Linked DNA regions of Lytechinus pictus. The protein of the gene in region 1 purifies or fractionates together with the protein of each later gene. This does not show direct contact. Links are inferred from orthologs where the notes say so. Each region holds a gene or a part of one and is shown in the gene's direction. Other genes may lie near its edges. The genes, in order: ribosome biogenesis protein BMS1 homolog and RNA 3'-terminal phosphate cyclase-like protein.

What was found.
Region 2: the proteins of ribosome biogenesis protein BMS1 homolog (region 1) and RNA 3'-terminal phosphate cyclase-like protein purify together in Homo sapiens (co-immunoprecipitation; 4 studies listed by BioGRID and IntAct, with this or other methods). This does not show direct contact. The link is inferred for Lytechinus pictus from reciprocal best matches to the Homo sapiens genes BMS1 and RCL1.

The regions. Positions count from the first base shown.
Region 1 is NC_087258.1:1,714,284-1,730,881, reverse strand, and holds the start of ribosome biogenesis protein BMS1 homolog, read left to right. Parts: upstream 1-9,389; 5' UTR 9,390-9,476; intron 9,477-14,324; 5' UTR 14,325-14,379; coding exon 14,380-14,552; intron 14,553-15,167; coding exon 15,168-15,358; intron 15,359-16,598. Other genes in the region: fumarate hydratase class I, aerobic-like, read left to right, coding at 8-198, 469-786, 1,924-2,043, 3,600-3,818. UniProt on the Homo sapiens protein: GTPase required for the synthesis of 40S ribosomal subunits and for processing of pre-ribosomal RNA (pre-rRNA) at sites A0, A1, and A2.
Region 2 is NC_087255.1:7,775,551-7,792,532, reverse strand, and holds the start of RNA 3'-terminal phosphate cyclase-like protein, read left to right. Parts: upstream 1-8,594; 5' UTR 8,595-8,734; coding exon 8,735-8,748; intron 8,749-11,008; coding exon 11,009-11,067; intron 11,068-12,660; coding exon 12,661-12,732; intron 12,733-13,816; coding exon 13,817-13,992; intron 13,993-14,874; coding exon 14,875-14,946; intron 14,947-16,982. UniProt on the Homo sapiens protein: As part of the small subunit (SSU) processome, it plays a role in 40S-ribosomal-subunit biogenesis in the early pre-rRNA processing steps at sites A0, A1 and A2 that are required for proper maturation of the 18S RNA.

The DNA.
Region 1 (16,598 bases):
CATGCAGGTAATGCGCATGGCAGAGCGTTCAGAGATGTGGAGCTGGAGAAACAAATCCATGAGTTGTCTCAGCAGCTAGGTATAGGAGCTCAGTTTGGTGGGAAATACTTCTGTCATGATGTAAGAGTCATTCGTCTACCAAGGCATGGTGCATCGTGTCCTGTAGGTCTAGGAGTTTCCTGCTCTGCAGACAGACAGGTATGGTGTCTTTCAAGACTGTTAATATGTGAAAAAATATCCTTCATTTTCATTTATTTTTGTATTTCTCTTTTAAGTGGGTGTTTCATAAAGCTGTTCGTAAGTTATGAGCGACATTACTAACGGCTGGAGACCCTTTCTTAGGAACTAAGTCAACACTTATGAAAATCTGGAGTACATGTATATCATTTACCACGAGAAATGTCGCTCTTGATTTACAAACAGCTTTATGAAATAACCGCCTAAAATCTTCATATATCTTTAACACAGGCCATTGGTAAGATAACAGCGGAAGGTGTCTTCTTGGAGCAGCTTGAAACCAACCCTATCAAGTACTTACCTGAGGTCCAGGAAGATGACCTGAGCGGTGATGTCATCAAGGTCAATCTTAACCAACCAATGGATGATATCCTCGTAACGCTGACCAAGCACCCCATCAGGACAAGGGTTAGCCTGACCGGAACGTTGGTGGTGGCCAGGGACATCGCCCATGCCAAGCTCCAGGAGCGGTTGGATGCTGGTGAAGGGCTTCCTCAGTACATGAAGGATCATCCAGTCTACTATGCAGGACCTGCAAAGACTCCAGAGGTTAGAATGATGATAATAATAATAGTGACAGGCACAAGTCCAGATTCTGACTTTTATGGGGTGCGAATTCGTCCCCAAAAAGTAATCAGTCAAAAATGAAGGATGTTTTGTCTCCCAGAAAGCATGACAAGCCTCTCCCCCCCCCCAAAAAAAGGGTCATCACTCATTTTACGGCAATAAGGTATTCTATGGGGTACACCATTATATTTTCATAGTTAATAGGGCGTGCTCACACCTTTAGCAACCCCCTGGATCTGTGCTTGAGTGATAATATGCATTATTTATGCCTAGTGAGTCAGAAAAAGACTTTCCACCTCAAAAATCGTTGATTTAACGAAAAAAACAATCATCATGAACACACAACTGTTATATGTGTCCCGAAAATGTACTGACTTTCAGATAATTTGATATAATATTTTTATGTGGTATATGTTGACGGTTGGATGATCAGGAGGTAATCTTTGCTGTGATGTAAAATTTCATTTGTGTCAGAGTAAAGCATGACTGTATGTCCATGAAGTCATAATCCTACATGGGTAGCAATAAATCTCATTGAAAAAAATCTTCAATTAAGTTGACATGAGAATTAAAAAAGTCTTAATTCAGCAAACCTTGTAATTATTTTTTTAGTTTTGGAGATAACTCTTTAATGATGACTACAGCCTGATGCACACTACAGGATCTGTTGCAACCCAATTTTAAAGAAGTTGTAATTGCATGTGATATGATATTTCAACCTATGCAATCTTAACGATGATAGTTCTGAATCGTGATATGAATACTAAATAAAAATTCCAGTTTATTTCTAGCCTCCCTGTAAGGACGGAAGCAGATTCAAATCCTAATCATAATGACTTCCTCTTTGGCTGCAATTCGAAGACGATTTAGACTTTACTCGGACCAGAAGGCTTGCAGCAAAGCATAACTCTGATTTTAGTATTCCAAGCATTTTGCTGATGTTCAAATAAATTTTACTTTGGAACTTTGAAATTAAATGCAAAATGTGATTAGTTAAAAAATGTGTCATAGTTACTTTGACCATGTGTTATGGCGTGATAGGCTTAAATATCTTTTTCTAGTTAGAGTTTGTGAGAAAATACTGTGTCTGATGATTTGTTGTCTTTCACATGATTATAGGGTTATGCGTCTGGATCTTTTGGACCTACAACAGCAGGAAGAATGGACTCTTATGTCAACTCGTTCCAGGCAGCTGGAGGGTCAAAGGTCATGTTAGCCAAGGGGAACCGAAGTAAAGATGTAAGTTCTTGATTGTTTAATTTGGTTAAAAGCTTGTTGTATTGGGGTTACAAGACATCTTGGTCAAAGGGAACAGAAGAAAAGTTGTAAATTCTTGATTGAATTTTTAGTGAGGCTCAAAGCTTTGTGGATTTGGTCAAAGGCATCTTGGAAAATTTTAACCTTTAACCCTCAATCTCCCGGGGTATTCTGATTCTTGTCATTCCCGGGGGGGGGGGGGGGGCATTATGGCCCCCCCTTAAGATCTCAGCCGTGGATTGCGCGATCACAACGAAAATTTGCATGATGGTAGAGAATGACGTAATCTACGCAGTTGCATTGGTAAATTTCACTGAATTCATATATTTTTATTTTATATGAATTAATTATGCTAATTTATTCATGAAATCCTACTTTTTGCTCTGATTCACTAAATAAAGCTCCTAGAATGCTATTTTTTGGTGAAAATATTCTTTATAGCATTCCTAACAATTGTGAATGAAAAAAATTCTGGTACCAAGACCGATTTCTTATGTATTTAATTGTTTTTTAAATTTCTTATGTATTTCCCTGTTTTTTTACTTTTTGTTTTTTATTGTTTTTTCAATGGAAATCGTTCCAGACTTAATTCTAATCATAAACAAGGCAAAATTAATTAAGTTTGATCATTAAAAGTAGAAATATGATACATTTATGAATTTTGGCCAAATACACAATTTGCATTGGATTTGTACATGAAATCACGTTTATGAGCAATTTTGGGTCTGACATGCACTTACATAATGTTGCGTAATGTCGTAACCGCGTACCCGGGCGTCACAAATTTGGTCTCAAAATTTGCGCGAGACTTGAAAGTAAAAAGTCAGTGAGCGGCGAGGTCAAAAAAATTTGCGCAGCAGATATATCGCAAAAATTGTCGAGGGGGGGGTTAAGATGCGTTCCTTTAATCTTTAATGTTTACACTGTTCGTTTTAACTTGTCTATCATTTGTGTTCTTGTATTTGGGACTATGTTTATTATTATTATTTTTTTTTAAGTATATAGGGTGATATTAATCTTTTCCACAGTAATCATGCAGGCATACTGAGTATGATCCATTTATATTAGTTGTATACAGGGACAATGTGTACTTACCAGTATTTGGGTATATTTTAGAGTACACCCTCATAATTTACCCCGCTGACTTCTAGAACTGGCTGGTACCTGTAAAAAATATATGAGAATTACAGAATTCAACAGTCAACGGGTTAATCCTCTTGTAAATCTGGGCCTTGTAGTAGTTCCTTTCATTTAATTTCCCTACATTTGCACTTACGAGCACCTAAGAAGGAAATAGTTATGACTAAATTTTTGTTGGTATTAACCAACTGCTGGTCTGAACCTGAAACCTTCCATGTGCGGGGCAGATGATCTAACCTCGAGGTCAGCTTAATCAGGTGCTTCTCTGACATGCCATTATAATCTATTAACCCATTGTCTACTGGATCTGGGTGGTCCATGTACAATGCCTGAGGGTATTCCAGAGTTCAGAAGTCTGATTAACCGATTTTCTACCCTTCCCTACTCTTGTTTCACAGGTCACCAAGGCATGTAAGACTCATGGTGGTTTCTACCTCGGCTCTATCGGTGGTCCGGCAGCCATCTTAGCTCAGAACTGTATCAAGAAAGTTGAGGTATTGGAGTATGAGGAACTAGGCATGGAGGCTATCTGGAGAGTCGAGGTGGAGGACTTCCCGGCTTTTATCGTGGTCGATGACAAGGGGAATGATTTCTTTAAGCAGTGGCAGGTGGAATGATTGATACCATTGAGGGTTCAAGAACTCAAGAACTGTAGACTGATTTTTCCATCATGGCTGGGTTTGTCCTTGAACATAACAAACGTTGATTCAGTGTCCATTGCTCTGCAATCATCCCGACTTGAGTACAGCTGGCATGAATATGGTGCTTTATTATTTTTAGAAACTAGATTAAAGCATGGTTGTTCCTACATATATGATGAAACAAAAACTTGTCGTTGTCAAAATTCTCCCCACTTTTAAGTCCTAGATTTTTAGCATGTATTGTGATTGTTAAATCCGAATAAATACCCTATATTATGCTTATTTGTTTCATAATGAAAAATGCAGTTCACTTTTAGTTTGGTCAGTTAGATACTTATTGCCCTCCCTTCGTGCAGACAGTCAAAGACATGGTAGTGATTACCTCACATGTTCCAGGCTTGGTCAGTTAGCATTCAATCGCTTGTAATGCTTTTCATTAACTGTCCGACACTTATATGACACGCATGTGTTGATAGTGTCGTTAATTTTTTAATTAATCAATTCATATGATCAGCTGTTTGATTGATTCTCAAAATTCGAAACATTGGGCAAGAAAACATGGCATTTATCATAAGACTGTCCTTGTTTCAAACTCAAGTCGATCGTTCCAAAATAGTCCTCCTTTCTTTCTTGACTTCTCAATCAACCCATCGCCTTCTGGAACTGGGTGATCCCTCTACAAATCTTATGGGATTTGCAGAATTCAGTAGTCAACAAGTTAAGTGCCTCTTTAATTCTAATAAACTTTGGTAGACTGATAGGTACAAAATAACAGGTGATGACCCTGGTCTAGAAATGGTCAAACATTCAAATTATATATTTTGCCTTCAGTGTATTGTATTTAATCATCCAGTTATACTGTTGTAAGATGTTTTGATGTAAGTTTGATATTTTACCATACACTGTATCTGCCAGTTATGCTAGATGGGAGTTGTCAAAGCTGTTCTGCAGCTCTGGGAAGCTTTTTTTAAACCTACATGTATCAAACATGATATCATTTGAGGTTAAGTATGACACACATTTTCCACTCACCCCATCCCTAGCTCAAGCATAGGGGTCAATGGGTTAAAAACCCACACTTACCATTCCGTGTGTGGAGGTTCATAGAGCAAGGGCATTGTATCACAAATTGATCTTAGGGGCATTTTAAGCAAACTCCCATCATTTGTTGTTGTAGAGATGAATCATACACACAATGAAAAGTGTGTAAAATTGTGCCGTGTAATGTCAGTTACCGTGAAAATGCCCTTAGGCAAATTTTATTGATTGATTGCATTGACCATTGTTTACTGTCAATTGTGAAAGTCGACTGTATGATCAACCTCTGACCATTGTGTCACAGGATCCAGAAGTTCGCTTAACCAGTTGGCTACTGAATTCAGAGATTCTCATAGACTTTGTAGGGGGACTGCTTGGTTCCAGTAGGTAATGGGTGAACCTGTTGATTACTGAGATTCCCATATTGCACAAGTATCACTCGGTTCTAGTCAGCAATGGGTTAACCTGTTGACTACTGAATTGTTTGATTCAGATAGGCTTTGTACAGGGATCATCCTCTTCCAGTAGGCAATGGGTTAACCTGTTGACTTCTGAATTCTGAGACTCCCATAGACTTTGAACACATATCACCCAGTTCCAGTAAGCAATGGGTTAACCGGTTGACAACTGATTTCTGTGATTCCAATAGACTTTGCACATGTATCACCCGGTTCCAGTAAGCATTTGGTTAACCTGTTGACAATTGAATTCAGAGATTCCAATAGACTTTGCACAAGGATCATTTGGTTCCAGTATACAATGGCACATATTCATTACTCAGGTTTAATTTGAACTCTGATCTAAAGTTGTGGTTCAACTATAGAAAGCCAATTGTGACATAAATCTCTAACAGTAAAGGTTCAACTTATCAGCTCGTTTGACACCCAAATCATTCATAGCAGTGTGGAAAGGATAGATAAGATAGTTTTTTCAGTATTACAGAATGAGGAAAGAGCTTAGTAAACATAAGAAACATACAATGTAAACAAAATTTTGACATTTATGGCTTCCCATAATTTTAGCACAGAGTTAGACCATGGTTTAAGGGTTAAACCAGGTTTCAGAATAGGAGCCAATGGGTTTAATGGAACAACCAATGAATAGAGAGGCTGAAGTTTCCAGTCTCTGCTTATACTGTATCTATTCAAGCCAAGGTCATATATCTTTTTGTATATCCTTATTTCTTCATTCATTCTATTATACACAGTTAAGTCTGCTTCCAAATTCAATATTCCATACATAAAATGATTGTCTTTTGTCAATTATAAAAACAAACAAACAAAAAACAGACCAGACCGGAGTATGCAAAATGCATCTCTGTAATTCACCTAATTTGTATTTCACTGAAGTAAACTTATTTCTGTACTCATAAGCAATTGGACTTGGGCAAAGTCAATAATCTGACACACAAAAGTAACCATTACGATGACAACTTCTTGCCTTAATTTTGATTGGCTGTTGAACATTGTAACCATGGTAGTTACCAATAGATGGCAAAGTTCTATCAAAGTAACTTTTTTGCAGAAGGGCCCTTTACTGAGGTTCCACTGATCAGCATTGCTCTCAAATGATCTTGTGAAATGAACAACCATGTACTCTGCTCATCAGCTAGTATATCAAGGGGAGAGTAAGTTTTTGCAGCCATGGTCACACTCTGCTGGCCTTTGCCTTGGTCAAAGTCTGAGTCACGTGACCTGGGGGCCGTTTCATAAAACTTGTTATATAAACAAATTTGCAATAACTTTTAAAAACTATCAAAATCCTTCAATCCGATCGGCTGATGGTACATTTGTTATAGAAATTGTGCATTTGTTATTATAACAAGTGTTTATGAAACGGTTCAAATATTGATGGAAGATATTTTTACTGAGTAGCCCTTCAGCTCTGTGCTGTCAGGTTTGATTTTATACCTGGGGAGCCTTTCATGAAACAAATAGTCATTGATTTTGCTATTGTTATAAGCTACTGCAAATCCTTTCATCTGATTGGTAGAGAGCAATGGTCATTGAAAATCTCTGACTGAACTTTTCATGAAATGCTCCGTGATATCATTACATGAATTTAATTTATGTAAATTTGTATAGAGAGATATTCTAAAGAATACATTACAAATTATTTGACATTTTATTCTTGTCGTTATTTTTAAGTCATTACTTGAGTTACTTGTTTTATTGTCAGTTTATTTGTTAATGATCTACATGTATATATATGGCAATTAATCTTTTTAAATTGTTGGTACTTGTTATTCAAGCATCTAAACAGCTGTTACATTAGAAGAATACTGAAGTTATTATTTAGAAGAAAAAAATATGTCCTTTTTTTTTTTTTTTTTTTGGGGGGGGGGGGGGTGTGCAAAATACAATAAGCTTGGTACTACCACTGCTTATCATAATTGACTCTCTCCCCCCCCCCCGACAGGTGTCTCAAGCTTTTGCTTGCTTTGCCAAATGAAAATTTGGTTTATAAACTGTTCATCTAACCATGTTATTATAGACTTATACCTCAGTCACATTTACTCTAAGGCGGCCGTACGGTGAGTAAAAAACAGCCGTTTTATTCATTTTTATTCAAACCATGTGTAACTTAAGTAATTGGTGCAAAAATGTTTAAACTTCAGTTTTTGAATCGCCGTACGGCCGCCTTAGAGCAAATGTGACTGAGGTAAAGTGATGTTACACTGAGTGGATATTAGATCAAATTCATGTAGCTTTACAGAAAAAAAGTGGGCTATAGAAATTAGTTCAAATGATTAGCAGATGAACTGGTTGTAGACAAAGTAGATGAAGTCCAATTGACAATTGACTGAAGATCATACTATTTTCTGTACTTGAAAGCACATCCCATCACAGTTTAGCTTAGAAAAAATGCTTTGTATAAATTGTCTATTAAAGGGGATGTTGATCACTCTGACAACAAAGTTTATAGTAAAAATGGCAGGAAAAATAATACAAAAATATCAGTGAATGTTTGAGGAAAATCCCTCAGAGATTTAAGAAGTAATTAGAATTCTATTTTGTTTTGATTTGCAACATCATATGCAAGCAGCTTCCCATGTATTGTGAATATTAAAAAATCTAATGAAATTCATTTTCTCAAGGAAATTGAAAATGGGTTTTATTGTACCTTCAGTATATCAACAAAACACAAATTATTTTAAATAAGCTCATCATGAACCATTAAAACATTACAATTTTTTTTCATTTTATGTTATACAAAACATATGAAGCAGCTGCTTGTATATGATGTCACAAATCAAAAATTGAAATTCTAATAACGTTCTTATTCTTTAATGGATTTTCCTCAAACCTTCACCAATATTTTGTACTATTTTTTCGGGTATGTTAACAAGCTTTTCGAACATCTGAGTGAGCTTCCCCGTTAAGGGATAAAGCTGCTTTCGATCTCGGCATCAAGTCGCCCAATTAAAGCTGACAAACTAAAGGAGCATATTATTGAAGGTTTGGTGGAAATGTATATCAGTTAATTATTTTGATGTCACATTGCAAGCAGCTGCTCTCCTGTAATATCAATTCCATCATCGTACTATATTTTCACAGAAAATTGAAATTAAATTTACCAGTGCACTTAATGATTTTTATACAGAAATTATTTTGCGTAACATATGGCAAAACTGCATACACCTTACTACATGACTGAGTTACTAAGGGCGAATGACTGAGGCCCTTTATGTACTCATGTCACATGATGTTTCCATTATATACAATCCACTTTGGTTCCAGCACAAACATGGAACGTGCGCCCTTCAGAAAGTTAATATGGTGGATACCATGCTCACATCATGAACTGTTAAAATGGACCCTAAACGAAGACAATAACATAAACAAATCATTCTCTGATCATGACCATCTGTCTCATCTTCCACATACCCTATAAATGCACCAGAATATATAAGCGTTTACAATGTCACAGTGGAGGACAGTTCAAACTAGCTGTGATAAATCATTGTATGTAAACACAGGTTTCCATTAAGCCAGTTCGTGGTTCCACTCGGTATGATCAGAAGATTCTGCGCATGATCAGAAGAAGGTCATTGGTACTATAAGTGACATGGTGGTTTAAAATTTATTAGCCAAAATGGCCTGTAATACTGGGTATGGGTTAGGAACCTTCAGCCTCACACCCCCGTCCAAACCGAATCCAAGTACCCCCCCCCCCCCTGGGCATGAAGTAACTATGAACTGGTCTATTGTTTGTCCTCTATCGTGCACTGTGACATCATCTGAAAGCCCCGGCTCCGGGCCTCGGCTAAAGTAAACACTATTTGTATTCAATTTTGGCAACTTTGATACACTTTCAACTGTACATGTGCACATCACCTGCCTGTGAAAAACAGCTCTGAATTCTTTTAATTTTCCTTGGTTTTGTGGCATTGCATGTCCCCGCCCCCCCCCCCCCCCCATCGGCCCCCTATCACCCCTATATGGCATTCCAGCTCTGCTCAGCCAAGGCCCCCTAATTTCTTTTCACAGCGATGATTTTCCATGCAGTTGCGATTTGAAGACACCACCAATCCACCATACACTATAATTACACACGTGTGCGTGCCGTGGAAGATCGCGTTTGTTTTTAACTCCGGTAAGTTGTTTTATTTTAAATTTAAAGTACTCTATTCTCCATTAGATTTCCATTTACTAGTAATGATTGTCTCCTTAAGGATGACTTGGATATTTAATTTGAAAGAATGTAGAAGTAGCGTTGCTGGTTTAGGATTTTTTTCTTAAATAGAATTGCATTCCTCATGTTCCTCGGTTTTCATTCTCGCAAAAACAGTGTGACGAGACCAACCATGCCAACGCCACGGTTCCGCACCATACTCTCGCCAGCAATTCCCGCGGACTGCCGATTCGACTTTCGCTGGAATTGTGCGGAACTCGTTAAAAAGTCACCTCGCCTAGTTCACTGCATCTTCTCTTTCTGACTTGCAATGCATGCTTGCACCTTCCCAACCTCCCACACAGAAGTTGTATTTAAGTAAATTTTGGCACACTCAATACTGTTACTCTAACTTAAGTTAGCACTTGACGTCGGGGTGACCAGATTTCACAAAAATAATACGGGACAATCGACAAACTTCAACAAAGAAGGCCACACAGTGTTAGACTTGTGAAAAAATATAAAGAATTGGAAGCAAGGGTGAACAAAAGAATGAAGGAGAGAAAGAAAGACGAAAGAAAGAAAAAATAGAGGGGAAAATAGGAAAAAAATAAAGGTAAGTTAGAATTAATTTAAAGAAGGAAAGAAAGAATAAAAGAGAAAAAAGGTTTCCGTCATTCTTTGAATTGAATATATTAGAAAGAAGGAAAAAGAAACGATGGGAAGATCAATAAATGTGTGAAAGACAAAATAAAGGAGAGAAAAAAAAAGAAAGTAAGAATAAAGGAGGAGGAAAGAAAGAACGAATGAAGGAACGAAAAATGTTTCCTTCGCTCATTCTTTGAAAGGAAGAAAAAAAGAAAGAAGAAAAAACAGGAAGGAGGGAAGGAAGGGAGGGAAAGAAAGAAATAATAAGGGAAAGGAATTAGAAGGAAAAATAAAATAAAGAATGAAAGAAAGGAGAAAATAGAGGGAGGAAAGAATGAAGGGGAGGAGAGAATAAAAAAAGAAAATAATGGAAAGAGAGCATGAACAAAAAGAAAAAGGAGAGGTAGGGAGAAGGAAGCCAAAAAAAGTTCAAGGAAAGAAAGAATGAAGGAAAAAAAAATTAATAAATAAGGCAGGTATAAGAGAAAGGAGGAAAGAAAGAAAAATGAACACAGAGAGAGATAGAAAGGATCAGGAATAAAAGATAGGAAATAATGATAAAATTTCAAATGAAAGATTGTCAACTTGAAAATTAGATGAAACATCGCGGCATCATACACAACAAGACTCAAAACGAAATCTGAAACAACTAGATCTAGTTCTGAATAACTTCTTCCTCCGATTACATCTCCAAATCAGTAAACTGAGAATCCATAATATAATTATACAAATTTCCTGCTGCTTTTGTGATTATTTTGGTGGAAAAACCATTTATCATGTCATTGTTTGCATTGAGAATCTGCTCCGATCCTACGCTACATGCCTAGCTAGCCTGCCTCACACAGGCAGGAGGCCAGTTCATTTGCAATGTATTGGGTTAGCAAGAAAATCACCTCAGAACTTGCAAAAGATTAGTTATCGATTTTATTGTCTCTGCTTTGTCATCTGCGTTATTTGATGAAAATTCGTCACTTTTAAATGTGTTGACTTCGTTTTGTTCAGTATTCTGAAATACGGGATAAATAGGCGTCCCGGGAAGGGTTTGTCGGGACGCCGGGACAAAGGAGCAAAATACGAGACGATCCCGGGAAATACGGGACGTCTGGTCACCCTGCTTGACGTCCAGGTGAATTAACTTTCCACCTTGTTCATGTTTGGAGAATATGTTGTGAGGAAAGACTATCCTTGGTTTCTGACTGGCATGATTGGTGCCTATACTATCAAAGATATAAAAAGAGCACTTTTTGTCCCAAAATTAAATGGGTGATCTTGGTCATTTCTGGACCGTCCTTCGGATGAAAATGTAGAAAAACTTATCTGTAAAGAGTTTAATGTTAACAACTTTAATTTTTTTGTTTCCCATTGGGGCCATGCTCATCTAGTTATGTCTGTAATGTTTTGCATAGAGCGCCCCCATCGGAGATAACAAAAAGCCGAGATACGTTGATTAAAGCCGATGGTTACTAACTACAAACCATCGTCTAGATTTATCATTTCTTGATTCACTAACCTTAATGACAGAACCCATGAACTACTGGTACTCAAACATACCAACCATATTTCACTGTCGACATGATCAATGAAATCAATTATAGTGATAAGAATAGGTTGTATTTCATATTTTCTTCTCATAATTTATCAGAGTTGTTAATTGCCTCTTGTAAACCAGGGGCCTGTTGCATGAAAGGGTCTTTCGTAGAACCATTCTACGTAAGAACGAGATATCGCTCAACTGTTTCACAAAGCCGATTTGGGCGATACGAAGAATGGTCCTTGGAAAGACACCTCCAGACATGTCCTACGTAGGCATGATCTTCTTTGCACACCGCCCGCCACCGTCGGCATTGAGAGAAAATGCATTTACGGCAAGCCACACTGACATATCACCTCTAAACATTTTTTGGTTGCACTCTGATGCATTTTATCTGGGATGGCGCCAAGTTATTTTTTATATGGGGGCTAGTTGTCATCAATTTCAGGTCGTCTTTTTGCACGGCAGGACGACCAAAAACGCGGGATGTCATTTTAACTTCTCCGGGGTACATGTAATATTCCCGGGGGTAATGTATAAAGGGCCAAATATTTTTTTAAATATGTTTTCTTCTATTCTCCCTCCGTCTTATCCCCACCCCTTTTCTATTAAAAAAATAAACTTGAAATACTTGAAATGGGCGGCACTAGGCCTATATCTCTTTAGCTGACCCCTCATGCTTTCTCATTATAGATAAACAACAAATTTCTTTAAAAGAAATTATGTAAGGTAAAAAATGTGTTCAATAACATTCAGCAAAAAAAAAAGACAAACAAAACTAAGATGTTAAACATGCTAAATCATTTATTTATTTTTATTTTATTTTCATTATAATTATTTTTTTTTGCTGAGATTTATTTTAATCAATGAAAATTAATTGTTGGATTTGAAACAGTGAAACAAAACAAAAAACCTGCAGCTAATATTGAATTTAAGATACAGATTAAGCCTATAGCTTACGAATCCATCACAATCATTACAAATGAAGATAAGTTCATTAAATAAAAGATTATGGAAAGTCCATACGAAGAGGCGCATTTTAAATCTTAGGGTAGGCCCCTTTCGGCCCTTATGTCATAGCGTATATAGTCTCTATACTCCTTAACTTTGAAATGTTGAACATATATATTTTTTATGTTATTTCTTAAACCTTATATTCTTATATAAACTTCCATAAATTAAGTGATCATCTTTAAATATGACCAGCGTTTATGATCGTTGTCATATTTAGCATTATTTCTGTAAAAGTATTTTTTCCATTGTGGATTAATTCACACCTTTTTCTATGTTTTAATTATTATTGCAAAGTACTACTTTATCCACTTGGACATGTTTGCAGCAATTTTCATATTTTCATTTTCTTCTGTTACTCACCATGCAACTGAGGTATGTTTATACTCTAAACACTCACATTTTTCTTGCGTTATATCTGACAAATAAAATAAATAAATTAGATTTTTCACACGCAGCCTCTCATATTTTCCTTTTTAGTCTCATACAATCAGACACTGTTGATTTTATTTACTCCATTCAAACCCTATATTTACCTTAACAAATAACATATTAACGCATAATTTGCAAAATTATCATTATATACAAGTATTCTATAAAAATACAGGATATTTAACTAATAAATGTCGAAATTACTTAGTTAAATCAATTTTTATGTCGGACAAGGGTCTCTTTCGTTGAAATATCAATAAAAGGTGTCTCTAAAAAGACACCGTGTTCTAATTAAGGGAAATAATGAAAATTTCGATTTTATTTAGTTATGTTTGTGAATCTTTAAAGTTTTTTCTCTTTTTACCTCATAAAGTAAGCTCCATACATCAATTCTACTATCAGTAATAAATAAAACATTATTTGATCTCCTTTTATTGAAATATCGGATTTTATGTAAAGTCGTCATTCAGAAATAAAAGGTTCAGGTGACGATGAAGACTAAATATTTTTCCAATACTATCGATATCAAACGATGTCGCGGACTTGGAAGACAAAATTGCCTTCGTGAAACGGAAAGCGCTGATTTGTCGCCAATCTTCCTATCTCGGAAGAATGGTCCTAGGACGTTCCTACGTATCGCTCATCTCGTCATGCAACAGGCCCCAGAGGCTTCCAATTGATGCATGTTTAACTAGGCTGCGATTTAACTCTGCTAAAATTATGACAAGCTGTGAAAATGTCAAATATTTGTTTAAATTGTTCCTTATTTTTACTTTCTTCTTTCACTATGTTTTAATGGTGGATACAACTGTGTTAGTCTTCATTCTCATACAGTTCTAAATTATTTGAGTCATATGATCTGATATTTTCAATCTGTGTTATTATTGATATGTGTCACAATTGGCTTTCCATAGTCATACAACAATTTCGACCAGAGTTAGATTCAGACCGGAGTTCAGAATATGGGCCATTGTGTTTGGGTTCTTACCACACTTTGACTTTTTAATTATCCAGTGCCCCATTGCATAAAAGTTACTATTGTGGTAACTTTGCCATCCTATGGTAACGCTGATCAACAGCCAATCAAAATCAATGATTCAATGCAAGTTACTATTGGATGGCGAAGTTACCATAATAGTATTTTTATGCAACAGGTTCTGGTCATAAATCTTACTCTGTTCCCTTTGTGTTTTCGGTTTTTTTTGTAGACCAGTGTGCCTTTATTGATCACATCTTGGAGAATTCAACCAACCAAAAATCAAAATGGCGGACGAGCAGAGACCTCAGAAGAGTCATAGAGAGCAGAAAGCTGGGAGGAAGTTTGAGAAGAAGAAAGCAAGGACCAAACCAGTTGATGAAAACATGACCGCCCGTCAACGCAATCCTAAGGCTTTTGCCATCCAGTCTGTGAATAAGACAGCCCGCAAAGTTCGCAGGTATGTTTCCTTATGCTACAGCCACGCAAGTGAAACTGACTCCAGATTGACAAAAGCTATTATGTTACCGGTAGACAAACAGTTCGGAGTTGGTTGCATTGGAGCGCCTGTAGCAATATTACGATGTTGAGGCCTAAAGCCTGTCTTAAATTCTGATGATATTATATAAGGATCAATAATATGAATTAGGTTGAACTACAGTATGATTCATGTGACCATTATATCATTTCTCAGACTGATTCTGTATGATTTTTATTTTTCAGTTGTATCAATTCTTTCTTCTTTTTTTTTTTTGGGGGGGGAGGCTGTGATCAGAATGAGAGCCCGTTCTGGAAATGTTTAATTGTGTTTTTTATAACTTCAAACATTTTTGTTGAAGATTTAATGTTTACATTAACAGAATTCTGTTTATGAACAAAGCTATTTTTTCCTAAAAATTCTGCCCCATGCCATGTCTTACAGCTGGTTGTGTGCCAAAAAGAAAATGCATTTAAAAGAAAGATATGGATCATCTTACAATTTTTGAACAAAAAATTTAATTGTGATTCTAACCTATGAATATTAGATTTTAGATTTCAAATTACACTTTTCCATTTAACTCTTTTTTTTTTTCAGGACACTTGATATAAAGGAGAAGAAGCATCATATTCCAGTCGTTGATCGCACGCCACTCGAGCCGCCTCCTGTCGTCGTGGCTGTCGTTGGTCCTCCAAAGGTCGGGAAGACAACATTAATCCGCTGCCTCGTAAAGAACTTCACTCATCAGAACCTAGCCACAATCCAAGGACCTGTCACAATTGTATCGGGTAAAATCATTAGGAATTAATTTTAGTCACTTTTTCTCTCCCCCACGGAACATTCTCAGTTGATTTGTGATACTGGGTCCTCTCCCGTACTCTACGGTTTTTGTCTCACCTGCAAAGCAGAGTGAGACTATGGCGCTGCTTTTCCGACGGCGGCGGCGGCGGGGTCAACACCAAATCTTAACCTAAGGTTAAGTTTATGAAATGACAGCATTACTTAGAAAGTATATGGACCTATTTCATGAAACTTGGGCATAAGGTTAATCAAGTATTACTGAACATTCTGCCTGAGTTTCAGGTCACATGACCAAGGTCAAAGGTCATTTAGGGTCAATGAACTTAGACCATGTTGGGGGAATCAACATCAAAATCTTAACCTAAGGTTAAGTTTTTGAAATGTCATCATAACTTACAAAATATATGGACCTACTTCATGAAACTTGGACATAAGGTTAATCAAGTATTACTGAACATCCTGCCTGCGTTTCAGGTCACATGACCAAGGTCAAAGGTCATTTAGGGTTAGTGAACTTGGGGAATCAACATCAAAATCTTAACCTAAGGTTAAGTTTTTGAAATGTCATCATAACTTAGAAAATATATGGACCTAATCGCTAGAGGGTATTCATTTGTCTCGCAATCTACTATGGTCAACAAGGAAATTCGTGATCACTCTCGCAAAAAGTGTTCACTAGCTTTCTAGGAAATTTGTGATCACTCTCGCAAAAAGTGTTCACTAGCTTACAAGTTCACGAGCTTTCGAGTGCCGCTGCAACTCTTTATCAAGTGACGAAAATTATCTGATAACGAAGTCTATTTATACCAATCCCAAGGACTGTAAGCACGAACGCGGGAACAATGGGTGGGCACTGATCCGTTATGTGATTGGTCGGGCGTATATGCAAATAAGCCGGAGGTACATGCAAATACGCCGTAAGTCGGCAATATGCAAATAAGACAAAATTGGCGGGCTCGCTAGTTTCCCGTGGGTGGGGGTTGACTAGCTGAGCGGTCCCTGGATCGGGGTCGGGAACAATCGGGTCGGCGTGACTGCCAGGTAAGGGGGTATTGTGCTGTCAGATGGTTCGCATCCAGAAATCGGGGATGTCGATCCCGCTGTCTCTGTTGAAGTTGTTAGGACAAAGATGTATACTAATAGCCTCCTTAATCCTGCGTGTATACCAATGTCTTTCTTTGGCAACGCAATGTACACCCTCCCAATCTGGGTGGTGTTGCTTCTCCC
Region 2 (16,982 bases), on another chromosome or scaffold:
CTGTACCGCGTAAGTCGATGTGAAATCGGGTCGCGCGCGATTACCACCAGCAAATTTCCATCGGCGGGAGTCGCACTCTGAGAGAAATTACCACGGTAATGTACCACGAGATTTTTAATTGAAAATCTCGTGTATTACCGCGATAATACCGCAGAAGGAGGGACGATCTTCTGTCGAAGAGATATTGATTTGATAATTAATAAAATGTCACCATTTGGACAACTCACATGGCTCGAATTAGCCCTCCTGACTTGCCGCGATGTCTCTCGAAATTACGATGTACAGCAACAACTTATTGCCGTAAGATGCCGTCTCCTCGAAACCCAAACAAAAAAAAATCATAGAGCTGTTGAGCTTGGCGCGAGTGCACAATTTTAATGCACGCTCGTGTCATCGCCCTCAAATTTACATCTTTCTGAACTTCGTTGAATGAAAGTCGGGTCGAGATGAGATCGCGTACTTTCTGGGATAAGTAGTTAATAGTTATAAGAAAATGGAGCATCCAAGATAAGAATGGACAGAGTCGAGCAAGAGAAGGAGAGAGCGAAAGATACGAGAGACAGATGGAGGGGGAAATGATCAAGAGAGAGAGAGCAAAAGAAAATGGAGAGAAAGGGGGGCGGGGTGGCTAGATTAAGCAAGAGACGCCGAGGCTGGAAAAAATAGACCTATTGTTTATTTCCTTACATTCCTTTATCGTCATTCTCTTACTTTGTTTGCAACCAGAATGATTTAATTTCATCATATTTTCAGTGCATTATTGCCAAACATTCTTCCGCCATTATGATATAAGGAATGATAAACTCCTTTTTTTCTCCCACCACTCGATCCAGTCACACAAACACAGGACGTACAGGGCTTAATTTGATTGCAACACGAATGTCCTCGACTTATGCTTAATTACAATCAGTGTTCTTTTCCCTTGTTTCCTCATATTTTATTTTTTATCGTTTTTGATGTTGATATATTTCCATTTGACCCATGTCTCACTCTTGAATTTCTACTCTATCGCTATCTCAGCTCACTTCTCCCTCGATCCCTACCCTTTTTTTCTACTCCACTCTTCTCAATCCTTTTGAATCCCTTTTTTTCTGTGTATGTGTTTTTTTTTGTTATGCGACGCTCAATCTGGTGTTTATGAATTAACAAAGAAAAAAAAAATTAAGTGTCAATTTATTGTCACCCGATTGTCATAACCATATATCTTTATCAATTTTTATTAATCTTCATTGTTCGAATGGTAGTTTTCAGAATTGTTTTTATATTCTCTCCTCTCACTGAATCACGTCACCTCTGCTGTCATCTCTTGCTCGCAGTGGCGTACCTAGGATTTTCCAAAGGGGGGGGGGGCAAATTCGTCAAAAAAATTGACAAGCAAAAAAAAAAAGGTCTTCGACCAGAAATAAAAGATATTATACCAGGAAAAATTTTGACAAGAAAAAGAAAAATAAAGGGCTTCAACCACAAATTATGGATTTCATATCAGAAAAAAAATTGACAAAAAAAAGGTCTTCAAGTTCAAAGGAGCGGGCCATCTGTATCTCGCTCGCTTGTTAGGGGGGGCAGGGATACGTCTCTTGCATGGGTCGTGACTCATCAGGGGGGGGGGCAGTCTGTACCCTCTGCCCCCCCCCCCCCCCCGTAGGTACGCTAATGCTTGCTCGACTCATTTTTTCCCTTATCATTCCTTAGAAACATGCATTTGATTTGATATATAGATGTATATTTGTCAATATAAGTAAAGATTTGGTCTTAACTAAGACCCAACGGTGGATTAGCCTGAAGGCACGAAGATGAACCACTGAAGTCAGACAATGGATCACATTGGCCTGATTAACATCAGGTCAATTAACTGTAAGTATTATATCTTCGGTTATGTTTGCTTACAAATTCGCCCATGTGCACGTACTAACGTCAGGTCTACATCTTTTTAAAATACAGACAGCAAATTAACATTTACATTGTAATTGTTAATTTGCTGTCTGTATTTTAAAAAATGTAGACATAACGTTAGTATTTGCATGTTGTAGACTTACTCTTCTTCAGTCCAATGATGCAGGTTTCGTATTTCTTTATGATAGCATATCCAGAATAGAGGTAAATCGGAGCTCTGCACTGTCATAATCATGAGCATGGGTTAGACTAGATCTACAATCCTACTCCTAGTCGATATTCTCAAATAGATCTTTAGTGGTACTAGATCTTTACTAACTTGGTAATAATATGGCGACTGGGCATAAAAAGGATCTGACTGGACATTCACATTATGACAATCGAGTAGAATCAACATTATTAAAATTGCTTGTGCCTTGTGAAGGCTTGTAATTGTAATGTGCTTAACATATCCCTCACTCGTCGATATCTGCATTGCTACAAAGACAAAGTAAGCATATATGGGTATACGATCAACGCTAGGCCTGGGCTTAACCAAGTCTTGAAGAATTGTACTACTTAACTTAGTACTAGCTAGCTAGCTACCATCACACGGTCACTAGTACGAGAATAGTATACGGTAGCTAAGCTAGGTAGTCATCGTACGGTACACTACGGTACCAGTAGGCGGTACATGTGAGCAGAGGCAGAGAGGACAGTGACAGTGCATATACTTCCGATTTTGTCTCTAAAATGGACGTCCATCATTAAAAAAATACAATACCTGTATCATTTTACCGAAGAGAATGAGTTTAGATTCAGTAACAATCACCGGGATAGCACAAAAAGCACGAAATACTTTCTATTTGGTGATTTTGTTGTAACTTAGTTCAAGCAATCTGATTTTCTTTCGAGCTCGTGCATTTCTGGTACGGTATCTGCAAAAGCATAAACGAGTACTCGCACGAGATGGATTTTTTCTTTTAATTATAGTATGATTTAGGAGTAAAATAAAATAAATAGATTATGCCTAATATCAACGAGAAATACTACAAAAAATAAAACAAGTTCTAAGAGGCATAGCGAGAACTTTATAAAGAATGGGAACAAGTACTAAGGAAAATTTTTCTGAAATTGAAAATCCCATTTGAAATCGAAACAAGCAAAATTTTGAAATTAAAAAAAATGTGAATTTGAGCCGTAGAGGATGGGGGGGGGGCATAAGCACCCTCCCCCTTTCAATCGAGAGTCATTAAAATATTTGTTGTGGTAAATATCGGACATACATAAGTGAACTGACCCATGGCCGTATGCAGAAATTTTTCGCGGGTAGGGGGGGGGGGTGGGCAAGATGCATAAAATATAAAAAAATTGAAAGGAAGTGAGAAAAGTGACCGAGCTTGTCATTGCGTCTTTCCATTCTGTAAAGGGCAATTGAAGCATTTCGTGCATGCCTTTAATTAATTTTGTAAAAAAAATAAAATATTAAGTTTTCAATATCCCCCCACCCCCCCCCCCCCCCCCCGCTGCATACGGCCATGAACTGACTTTTTTTCGTTTAGGTTTCTTTTTGCTTTTATGTTCAGATTTTTCGTGGAATATATTACCTTTATTTGGGAGTGAAACTCATTTTTATCAACTTGTAAGATTTTACTGAATAAGCATACAACCCCCCGGGCCCCGTTGAAAAAGCTGGATCCACCCCTAAACTTCAGTAGTGATATGATGTGATTAAAATTATTAAGGGAGCGAATGAGGGAAAACCAAGCAATAAAACAATAATGGAAACAATTATGTCCGGAAGTGGCAGTATACTTAAATAAAAAAAAGAAATATATCCAATTAAATGACATTAAATTGCGCAGTACGTTTTTCATGAATGTGTATGAAAAATGATTAAAGTAAAACAATCAGCTAGAAATGTGGAAAGACAAACTTAGTTTGAACATCGGGTATAGTCGAGGACGGCCTGGCATCAGCATGGGTGAGGGGGTGGGTTACATGTATTTCTTTTCTTATCAGTCGTTCCAATTTATCCATCATTTGCTTTCATTTAGTCAGTATCAACCTCTCTTGTTCTACACGTACACATACGCCTGCTATATATATATATCTTAATTTCTCTTAATCTCTATTAAGTCAATCCCTTTATTTTATTATTCAATATCAATAGTTCCGGTCCTCTTTTCTTCTATCGCTCTTAATTTTTTGTTGAATATCTTCTACGTCTATCCTCTTATTTTATTCACTATCAATTGTTATTGTCTTATCTTTTATTCTTCTACCGTTCTTGTTCAATCTCTTTTAAGTCTATATACATTTAATTATTTTATTTCTTCAGATCATTCTTTCCTTTCTTCTCTCGCATTTCTCTTTAACTTCAATCGTTCCATCAGTCATACATGTATAATATGACGGTACAAGACTCTTACATTGTTTTATTTCTTCAGTATCAATCTTCCCTATCTAATGTGTACATTATTTTATACAGATATTAGATAAGATCAGGAATGTCTACTCGTATATTAATTACTCTTGAAACGTGGTTGAATTGAACAACCCTAGCTATATGTGGACTTGACTGGGGTCAATTAATTACACCGTCTGGCGCGTTTTGTGGACAATGAATAGAGGTGTGAAGATTAAAGAACAGCTAACAATGAGAAGACTGTAAGTTACACAATGATCTTTTGTGTAACTGTTTGAATAGAACATGTATTAAGCCGGCCCACTGATCAGTGATTAAGCCAGTCTATGATCAATGCCCACCCCCAAATTGTCCAATATAGTCGGCATTTGGGGGCCCGGAGTGGTGATGAGAGTGACGATGATGGCCATGAGAAAAATGATAAGGAGGAAGATGTTGATATTGAAAATCAATTATATTTTTCTGTATAAAATCACCTGTTCTTGATAAAAAGAGAAACAATTACAATAAGTCCAGGTTGTCTGTTCTATATAGACGAACAGTACACAGGGCAACATAAAATGAATATAAATAAACAAATTAGCAAGAGATAATATGCACATGGATTAAAACGAGTCAATTCGTAAAAATATATCATTGCAACATTTTATTAATATTACTAAAATACATTAGGGAAATACGTTTTAAATGCTAAACGTTAGGAAAATGTATTATAGCATTGAGAAAACCATACATTTTATATGATTTTAACATTTCCCTTAAACATTTTCATGTTTTACCAAACATTTTTTTTGATATTTTGTCAATGTTTTTTGTGTTCGCTCGGGTTACACGGAAAATGGAGTATATTGGTCAAGCAAAAAAAGTGGAAGGTGGTGACTTGACCTTTTGACGCTTGTATCATATACACACCAAATAATATAAGCCTCGGGTTAAAGGGATGGTCCGGGCTGGAAGTATTTATAACTTAATAAATAAAGTAGAATTCACTGAGCAAAATGCCGAAAATTTCATCAAAATCGGATAACAAATAACAAAGTTATTGAATTTTAAAGTTAAGCAATATTTGGGAAAAACAGTCGTCATGAATATTCATTAGATGGGCTGATGATGTCACATCTCCACTTGTTCTTTTGTATATTATTATATGAATGAGGTTTATTCAAATTTTTTCCTCCAAGAAGTAGAAAAATTGGAATGACAACTGATTTAGTGCATTGATATTTATTGCTGCAACTTATTTCATTATAAGGGAGACATATTATTCACACAAGTATGACATAACGAAAAAATTATGATTTTATGTAATAACATAAGAAAACGGAAAGTGGAGATGTGACATCATCAGCCCACCTAATGAATATTCATGACGACTGTTTTCACAAAATATTGCTCAACTTTAAACTTCAATAACTTTATTATTTGTTATCCGATTTTGATGAAATTTTCGGCATTTTGCTCAGTGAATTCTATTCTATGTAATAAAATATAAATATTTTCAGCCCGGACCATCCCTTTAAGTTAAACTGGAGTTATCATGTTTATAAGGAAATGTTAACGAATGGAGGGACAGACGGATACCGAGCGTGATACCAAGTTACGTCTCGTCTTATACGGGCGGGCGTAAAAAGACGATATATTACTTGTAGGGGGAGGCTGTTGCTGGAATGATGGACGGAGAGAAAGGGAACAGAGTAACACAACATGCAAAAAAAATATTTAAGGAAGATACAAGGGGGGGGGGGGACTGAATAAGATTTTTCAGAAAGTGCTGATGCTAGGCATTTAAAGAAGGGCCACTTGCGGGTATTCTTTTTCCGGGAAGGGGGGGGGGGGTTCAAGATAGCCGATCGAAGAGAAAAGTGGGCGAAGTAGGAGGAAGAAGACGACGGCTAAGAGAAAGAAATAAAGGATAAAGAAGATAAGGATAAGAGAGAAGCAACAGATGATATGGTGGATGAACGAATGAACATGGTAAAGATAAAGGTAAAGAAAGAAGAACAGGAACAAAAAGAAGTGAAAGACATAAGAAGAATTGAATGAGGAGAATAAATATACAAATGATGATGATGATATTGTTAATTAATATCTTTGGGTATAAAATCAACTGTTATTGATAGCGAAAAAATGAAAAATGATGGGAAGCGAATCATCTTTGAATAAAAGACGTAACCGATAAAATAAACACACAGAATTGATAAACACAAAACGATGGAAAGCAAATCTACTCGTTCTTTGAATAAACAGACGAAACTGATTAAATTAAAACACAGAATTGATGAACAGGAAAATGGAAAGCAAATCTACTCGTGCTCTGAACGTCATAATGATGGAAAGTGAATCTACTCGTTCTTGGAATGAACGATGTAACTGATAAAATAAAAATACAGAATTGTTGAACAGAAAAATGATGGACAGCGTTTCTTCTTTAGATAAAAGACGTAACTGATGAACAATGAAAACAAAACACAGAATTGATGGAACTCAAAAAATGATGGAAAAGGAATCAACTCGTTCTTGCCATGAAAGATGTAACTGATAAAATATACAGAATTGAACAGAAAAATGATTGAAAGCGAATCTTCTTTGAATAAAAGACGTAAATGATGAAATTATTTAAAAAAAACTGAATAATGATGAACAGAAATTGGGAAAAACGAATCTACTTTCCTTTGAATGAACGACGTAACTGATAAAATAAAAATACAGAATTAATGAACAGAAAATGATGGAAAGCGAATCTTTGAATAAAAGTCGTCAGTGATGAAAAAAAAAAACAGAATATTGATGAACAGAAAATGATGGTTAGCAAATCTAGTAATATCTGTTCCATTCTTAATGGATTTCACATCTCATTGGTTGTGTTTTTTTTTTAATGTTCTATAACTATGATTAATTCTAACTTGATTCTAAATCTCTGTTTCATAACTTCATAATAAAACTCAAATATGAATTATACTCGTCCTTTGAATTAACGTCGTAACTGATTAAATGAAAAAAGGGTCAATCAATGAACAGAAAAATGATGGTAAGCAAATCTACTCGTCCTTTGAATGAACGACGTAACTGATAAAATAAAAATGCAGAATTTATGAACAGAAAAATGATGGAAAGCGAATCTTTGATTAAAAGACGTAAGTGAGGAAATTGAAGAAAAAACAGAATTGATAAACAGAAAATGATGGTTAGCAAATCAACTCGTCCTTTAAATGAACGATGTATTACTGATTAAAAAAAACAAAAAAACAATGAACAGAAAATGATGGAAAGCGAATCTTCTTCTTTGAATGATGAATAGAAAAATGATGAAAATACTCGTTCTTTTGAATGAAATACGTACCCGATTAAAATTACAGAATTGAAGAACAAAAGATAAAAAATAAAAGATAGAAAAAGATTATCTACTTGATTTGATTTGACTTTATTTTACATATTTCACAAGTACAAACAAAATTATGAAAATAATATCAGAAAACTTATGAGAATACAAATCAGACAACAATTAATTCAAATTAAAGAAAATAGCGATTTGGAATTAAAGACAATTTAAAAGAGTGAAATATGAGGGAACCTGCATAAAAAGCAAGACTTGTCCTTAAAACGGAAGACGTCTTTGATAACATAAACACTGAAAAATAAACCATGGAGCTAGCTCCACAAATAAACAGTGGAAAGATAATCTACTCGTCCTTTAAGCCAAAGATGTAAATATAACTGGGTCACTCGGTCAGGAGCTGGGCACATGGATTTCTAGCGGGGACTCGTCTGATGCGCGCGCTTGAGGCAGTTTTTCAACCCGCTGTCTAGCTATTGGGAATTTAGGATTTTCAACCCGCTGTCTATCGGGTTGAATATCTTGAAGTGCAAATGACGGGATGGTGAATTAAAAGAGAATTGGACTAAGTGGGTTTATCCCGAATGTTGTTAGCCCATCTGATGATTAGACCAAGTGATAATAGACCATCCATCAGTAAACCGACGGGATTGCATCGGGATTGCGTCGTGTTTTGACAAAAAAGTGCCTAGAGTTGAGGCGCAAACTACATGAACAAATAGAGATCAAATCTGAAAAAATCTCGTGTTTTACGTGAGCATTGGGCCTCTCTTCTGCCAGCTGCATGCGTGAAATTGACGCGTGAATTTCACGCGCGAAATCGGCTGGTGGTAATTTTTTGGGTCACGCCTGTCTCGCGGTAGATGCGTGACCCTTCGGAAGGGTGTCAACTTTATTCCGAGCAATACTGTAAGAGAGTAACGCAGTGAGCTCCGTCGGTAATACGACCTTTCAAAGTTCACGGCGGCATCCGCTATCACCATGAGTTGGAAGAGAAGATATCTATCCTCTTAAACATCGCCATAGATAATACCGCGTCTTTCTCCCTGAATAATGCGACCTCTAAATAGCTAGCACCTCGATTTTTTCCTTCAAGGAGCATGATCGAAGATCGGCAAGTGATTGCCGATTGTGGTGAAATCGAATGGAATCGGTTGCCGATTGCAAAATCGGTTACAAGCTTAATAGTATACTCGTGATCCAGTCCCCACGCTATGGGATACACGGTTCACTTTGCACGCAGTGGGGACAGTTTCAACAGTATAGTATACTCGTGATCCAGTCCCCACGCTATGGGATACACAGTTCGTTTGGCACGCAGTGGGGATAGCTCCAACAGTATATTATACTCGTGATACCGTCCCCTCACAACATAAAATCGTGCTCGTTCAACAAGGGGATGGGGACAGTTTCCCGATGCATTGTGACAAGGAAAAAAACACCTTTGGGTATGGTTGCGGAAGCTGGGGGGAGGGGGGGGGGTTTCCCAATGCATTGTGACAAGGAAAAAGCACCTTTGGATATTACAGGGGCCGCGAAGGGGGGGGGGGACTTTAGCCCCCACCTTTTTCCAAAACATAAACGTAAAAATGTGACCATGGGATTATGATTTTTTTTGCATGGTCAGCCCCCCCCCCATTTTGAAAACCGTTCCGCGGCCCCTGTATTATTGCCATCATCATCATCATTATTGGTAATATTATATTATCATTATTATCATTATTATTGTTGTTATTATTATTATCAAAATAATGATATCATTAGTATAGATATTCTTTATCATTGAAAATATGCCCCTTCCATCCATTCCGTTTCTTGTATTTCACGTAATTCCTTCAAATAAAATCGCTGTAGACTCATAACGTTTGGTATTATTGTCATAATTATTATCATCATTATTATTGTTCTTTTTTTTCTTACTGTCATTTATTTTTACTTATTATTATGATAATTTCGCTTTACTATTATTATTCTTTTATTATTTCCTATAACAATGATTATTCTTATTTTTTATTATTATTACCATTGTTATTATTATTATTATTAACCTTATTATCATAATCATAATTATCACTATTATAAATATTGTTATTCTTTATTATAAAATTACCTCATCATTATCATTATTGTTGCACCTTTTCATTTCCGTCACATATTTGTATTGATTCCTTTATTGTTTTGTGGTTGACTATTTTCGTGTCATTCTTAATTCATTCATTCTTGCACCCACCCCCACTCCGAGTTTGCTGTTGGAGCCTTGTGCTTTCCCCCCGCATTAATTGTTGTAATTTCTTCCTTTCCAGACCCACTTTTACAAATCATTTCTTAAAGAGTAAAAAAGTAACAAAGATCCCCAATCTCTTATTATTGTTAAATAACATGGAAATATAGCGTAGTCTTTCCTCCAGACCCAGTTATAAAAATCGTTAAAAACACAACAAAACAAAAACCCTGAAATCTTATCAACATTGAATAGCACAGAAATATGGTGTAGTCTTTGCTCCAGTTATTTCAAAATAGGAAATCATGAGTAACAATAAAAACAAACAATATTAATTAACCAAGGCCCCCCTAATATTATTGATGTAGAATAACGTTGTTGTTGTTGCTGTATTATTATTTATAATTTTGGAATAACTGGGTTTGGAGAAAAGACTAAATTCGATTTTTAATTTTTATTCCACTGGAATATCATTATGGTATCTTAGTTTGGACTTATATGATAATTTTTGAAACAACCGGGTCTGGAAAAAAAAAGACTTTGGACTTATATTATAATTTTTAATTAACCGGGTCTGGAAAAAAAGACTTTGAACTTATATTACAATTTATACTTTGCACTTTTATGCTATATGAAGGCATTTATATAGGATTTTAGTTCAGAATGATTCACAATGTTTTGGAAAAAGGTAGGGGCTGAAGCGGGGCTGAAGTCCCCCCCCCCCCTCCCTCAACTTCCGCAGCCATACCCTAAAATGTTTTATCCTTGTCACAATGCATCGGGAAACTGTCCCCATCCCCTTGTTGAACGAGCACAATTTTATGTTGTGAGGGGACGGTATCACGAGTATAATATACTGTTGGAGCTATCCCCACTGCGTGCCAAACGAACTGTGTATCCCATAGCGTGGGGACTGGATCACGAGTATACTATACTGTTGAAACTGTCCCCACTGCGTGCAAAGTGAACCGTGTATCCCATAGCGTGGGGACTGGATCACGAGTATACTATACTGTTGAAACTGTCCCCACCGCCGTGAAAATCAAGCTTGATTTCCCGTTGAGTGGGGACTGTATCACGAGTATATAATAGGGAGAGAACCCTAGTGTTTATATACAATGTGTTTCATTTGTGTGTTATCATTTTGCCACAGAGTTGTGCGAGAGTTGGAGATTGTGTTCTGGAGAAAGGAAGTGATTTTCATGCGTTCTGGTAGGTGTGATTCTAATAATCCCCACTTTTGGATTTGGGGACTATATCACGATTATGCCGTACATACCACCTGTGGTGTATTGTCTATCCGTTGTTGTACTGTGTACAACAACGGATAGACCGTCTCGGCTCAGCGAATTGGAGACCGCTGATTGGCCAATCGCGCAGATCACGTCATGACTACGTGGTCGCCGAAATAATTCCTTCGGACTGCGTGCGAAAGTAGTTTTGACTTGAGGACGCAATGATGATAACTTTTAAAATAATCAAATATACTTCTTCATCATTGACGTCTTGACACTCTTCCCATACTTTTAGTCGCAGTTCAAGAGAAGGACCAGAACAAAGATGGATTTCCCTCGGAAATCCATCTTTTGAAGAAAAAAATCACTTGAATTTTATGAAGTTCATTGTTGATTTTTACACCTTCCTACGCCTAATGGGTAGGAAGGTTTTAAAAATTATAATATAAAAATGTGAAAAAATTAAGGTTTCTGACCTAACTGATGTCGAGTAGACCCCTCAATCCACATGTAAACAACGTAAGTACAATAGCGTCAACCCTTGAATGGCTTATGTATGACGTACTTCCGGCTAGCGATGCCGTTCTGATTAATAATTTATAGAAAAAAAATATTTCGCAAATGTTAACATTTATCACGTAATTATAAATAATTAGTATAATTATTTATAATTACGTGATACATTTAACTTTTGCGTCAATCATTTGAATAAAAAATAGCAAAAAATTTAGTAAATAGTAAGGACCTCCCTCATCACTGATGTCAAAAAATGGCCCGACAAAATGCCTCCTTGTTTTTAAAGAAAATAGTAAGATAGCAAATAGTAAGGACCTCCCTCATCACTGCTCTCATAAAACCCGGACGATCAACTATCTTTTTTTACTTGGCCTAAAAGTATTTCTACTGTACGTAGGCTTACTCTCCATGAAGCCTGGGTCGGGATACCATTGCTCTCTATATACCGTAGGTTTTCCCACGGTGAAACTAGACCTAAATCACACATTTTACTTATCGTTTTGAGCCCAAACTAACGTACATGGGCCAAAACAATATTTGATAACATTGCATATATTTATTCAATAAATAGTAGTATATTTGAAAAATAATGAAGAGCATGAGTGTTTACTTACCCAGTCTGTTTTCGTCGCCATCTTGCCTTCTTTATTGATACCTACATGTAGATACCGCACACGTGTCTAGCTGCCAACTTGGATTTTTTTAAATAATTGCATCGGCCGATAAATATCATGAATCGTAAAATTCTTGCATCGGCCGATAAGTATCATAAAGCGATTTTTATGATATTGGTGGAATTTTATGATTTTAAGGTGGTTAGCTGTCTGTGTACAGGAGGAGTAACAAAAAAAAACTAAAACATCTCCAAACAGACAAAGTCCAGGTGTCTAAGCTATAATTATCTGACTGTCTTTATATAAAAGCAAGGTTCTTGCTAAGAATGTGTGAGCTCACAAATGGGCTCAATTTGGCCCCAGAGCTTTTAATTGTAAAATATATTTGTAATTATCATTTTGATGTAAATATATGAATATACTATTATTTCTTTTGTCAGACTTTGAAGCAAGCTTCATCCGTCTTCTGGATAAGATTACTAATGGATCGTATATTGAAGTTAACCAGACAGGTAAGATTCAAATCACCGCTTCCCATTTTTATAAGATCTCATAATGCACTGAAATTATCCCTTTGTCCTCATAGTTTATTTTGACAAACCGATAATCAGCATGGGAAAACCAACCGATCCCGTTCAGCAGAAGTTGAACTCTTAAAAATTTTCAAAATCTTATAACATATAACAAAGGTATTGAATTTTTATTTTCATCAATATTTTGTAAAAACAATTATATGCACGCCGTCACAAATATGCAATAGGTTGGCTGATGATGCCATGTACCAACACTTCTTTTTCCTATGTTTACATGAAATTCTAATAATTTCATATTTTCATTAATGTGTGTGTGTGTGTGTGTGTATGTCTCCCTGATTACAAATAATAGTTGCAACAATTATTATCTTATATATTAAATCAGTAGTCAATCTTATTTTGTTCATTCTTGGAGGAGATGAGGACTGTAGGACAAAATGTGAATAAACATACTTTCATATAGTAAAATACAAAACAATAAGTGGAGATATGATATTTTCAGCTTGCTCATTGCATATTCATGAAGATATGCATAAAACTGTTTGACCAAAGTAAATAATGCAAAAAAATAAAATGTCATAATAACTCTGTTATTCCTTGTCCAGTTTTGAAATTTTCAGTGTTTTGTTTGTCTGATTTTTTTTTTACCTGTTCAAATCATATTGTTTTCAGCTCGGAGTGCCCTTTTAACTGGGTCCTCTGACATAAAGGTTTATGATTTCTATTGTGTATGATCAATCATAGAAATCAGCCTCACAACCAATATTCAAAGGCTCTGTCACATCGCTCCATGCAAGCTTTGTGCGTGACTTGCGGACGACCTCAGGTCGACTGCATTGACAGTATGTTGCACGCATCTCACTCGCAGTTGTCCGCAGAAGCGCACACAAGTCTGATCAGAAAAGTTTTGAACATGCTCAGAACTTTGTTGCGGGTGAGTTGCGGGTAATTGCCCGCAACTTACCCACAAGGCTTGCACGGAACAATGCAACAGGACCTTTAATTAGATATGTGGTAGTGGTACAGGCACCTAACTTATGTTCATTTTTTTGTTTTCTTGTAGGAACCCAAGTGCGCTACCAGCCTGGTCTTCTTGTAGGAGGTAGCATAGAACATGATTGCAACATTCAGAGGGCTCTAGGATATTACATGGAAGCCTTGATCTGTCTCGCTCCGTTCGGTAAGAAGCCGGTCAAGGCTGTCTTGAGGGGTGTGACCAATGACCAGATTGACCCTTCGGTAAGTGAAACTTTGTCCAGTCAAGACTGATTTGTAGCAAAAATGGAGGAAGAATTTTAATGTGGGTTTTGCTTTATACAGTGAGTATAAGACAACTAAATTGGGAGTCTTGAAAGTCTTTTCTTTGAACTAAGAATTTTTGGCAATATTTTTTGGCATATTTTTTGTAGATTATGCAATTCCTTTCATAGAACTAAAGTCAAATGTTGTTGTGATTGCTATCATTTTTTTATTTAACATTAAGCGAAAAAGAAAAATTAATAACAATCACATGTTCTTTAATTTATTGATATGAGTTGAAGGAAGAGCAAAGGAACAGTTTATGTATATTGTTAAGATGTAATGCAGAAATATTGTTTCTGCTGGTCAAGTACTATGACACCGTCTCATTCTCTGAAATGACAGAGTCAAGAAATCAAATGCTGTCATTGTACTTCTACTTCCTAACTTCTCAGTCAAGCTTGGCTAAATGATATGCTAATTCCTTCATCAACAGAAATAACTCTGGAGATCGCTGAATCCATATTTTTCATCTGTTAGATTATCAGATTCGACATCTTTGTGTATTTTCGATTCGCTTTGAACTTAGAAGCGCATTTGTCTAATATTGTTTAGATGGTAATTGTTGCATAAAACGTACATCATATGATTTAACATCTGGCAAGTCCTTTCATGAAACACTTCCACGTTCTTTGGAATCTAAATCTGTGTCAAGGTTGATCAAATCGACCAATGATGGAATTCCAATGGTCAAAAGCTTGTGTAATCACTTTACAAATTACAAGGAAATGTACAATATGACTATGAGGAGCATGTAAGAGATTGAGATATGGAATGTGAAATTTGAATAGAAACTAATTTTCTTTCTCTCTCTATCTGCAGGTCGATGTGATCAAGGCAGTGACATTCCCTGTCCTCAGGAAATTTGGAATCGATGAAGGATTAGAACTAAAGGTAGGGGAAGAGACTTCAGAGGCACTAGAAATCATTCAGATTAGGATGGCAGGCCTTAAATTTTAATATTTCAAGGGCAAAGCCACTCTTCTTTGGGGACATATTTCTTCATTTCAGCAAAAAATGGGAATTTAAAATAGCACCAAATATGTCCAAGGGTAATTAAATGGGTGTAGAGTGCAGTCAGTGGGTCATCTGAGACCAGCCGTGATTTTTAGGTTAATTTAGCCCTGGAATGGGGTTTGCTATCAGCAATACATTGTTTTTAGCTGGAAAAATGATGTTTTGCATTAGGGAATGTAGATTTAAACTCTGCTATTTTGCTCTTATGTTGCTTGCTTGAATATATATCACTGTCATAATGCAGTCCTTTTATTAACCAATGTAAGACTCAATGGCCCGAATTCACAAAGGTGGTTTTGAAAACCCACGGTTGAGTCCATGGTTTATGCAGATTTCCTGTATAAATTACGCTTAATTTAGCGCGTATCGGGCGCGTGTATAAAACATGTCCAATGCTGATGCGATCTTTTGTCACAGTGTGCCAAATTGACGCCTGTGACCATGGTTATTATAAACGCTATTTTATTCATGAGTCCACTGTTTGAAGAGTGGACTCATGAATAAAAACAGTGGACTCATGAATAAAATAGCGTGAATAACCATGGCAAGAGGCGTCAATTTGGCGCACTGTGACAAAAGCGCGCATCAGCATTGGACATGTTTTATACACGCGCCCGATACGCGCTAAATTAAGCGTAATTTATACAGGAAATGTGCATAAACCATGGACTCAACCGTGGGTTTTCAAAACCACCTTTGTGAATTCGGGCCAATGAGTTTACTATATAACACATGTTTTGCATCTACTCCAGGCCACATATGCTGACTTGGTCTCCAACAGGTTAACCAAAGGCCATGGCCTTAGCCTTTAATAGATGCCTATTGAATGGGCTCAATGTTCCTCTCATCTGCCTTGGATATTTTTCTGTCCGTTTTAATTTGTTTTTTGTGCTGTAATATAGAAATGTACCCAACAAAAGTTATTTTACCCTTAACCCTAATTCTCCCGGGGGGGGGGGCCATAATGGCCCCCCCCTCGACAATTTTCGCGATATATCCGCTGCGCAAAATTTTTTGACCTCGCCGCTCACTGACTTTTTACTTTCAAGTCTCGCACAAATTTTGAGACCAAATTTGTGACGCCCGGATACGCGGTTACGACATTACGCAACATTATGTAAGTGCATGTCAGACCCTAAATTGCTCATAAACGTGATTTCATGTACAAATCCAATGCAAATTGTGTATTGAGCCATAAATGTATCATTATTTCTACTTTTACTGATTGAATTTAATTAATTTTGCCTTGCTTATGATCAGAACTAAGTCTGGAACGATTTCCATTGAAAAAACAATAAAAAACAAAAAGTAAAAAAAACAAGGAAATACATAAGAAATGCATAAAACAATAAAATACATAAGAAATTTATTTCCAAACCGAAGTTTTTTTTAATTGCGATTGTTAAGAATGCTACAAAGAATATTTTAATCAAAAATTAGCATTCTAGGAGCTTTATTTAGTGAATTAGAGCAAAAAGTATGATTTATGCATAAATTAGCATAATTAATTCATATAAAATAAAATCTCATTATTTTGGAAAATGTTACCATACAGCCTTGTAGATTACATCGCACACAACCAGCATGCAAATTTTTGCGTCGCTCGAGCGATCAGTGGCCGAGATCTTAAGGGGGGGCCATAATGGCCCCCCCCCCCGGGAATGACAAGAATCAAAATACCCCGGGTGATTGAGGGTTAATATCATTAAAGGAAATCATTCGATTTGGCAATGATGCTTACATTTTTTTCATAGAATTTTGATGAAAATTAGGTTTTTAATACCTAATCTATTTGGAAAAAAAATATATATATATAAATTTTAAGGGCAGCTTGTTTAAAAATGATTGCATATATCTAAAGTGGCACAGAGATGTATGTACAAAACTTTGGTGAAAACAGAAAGTTCAGCTTC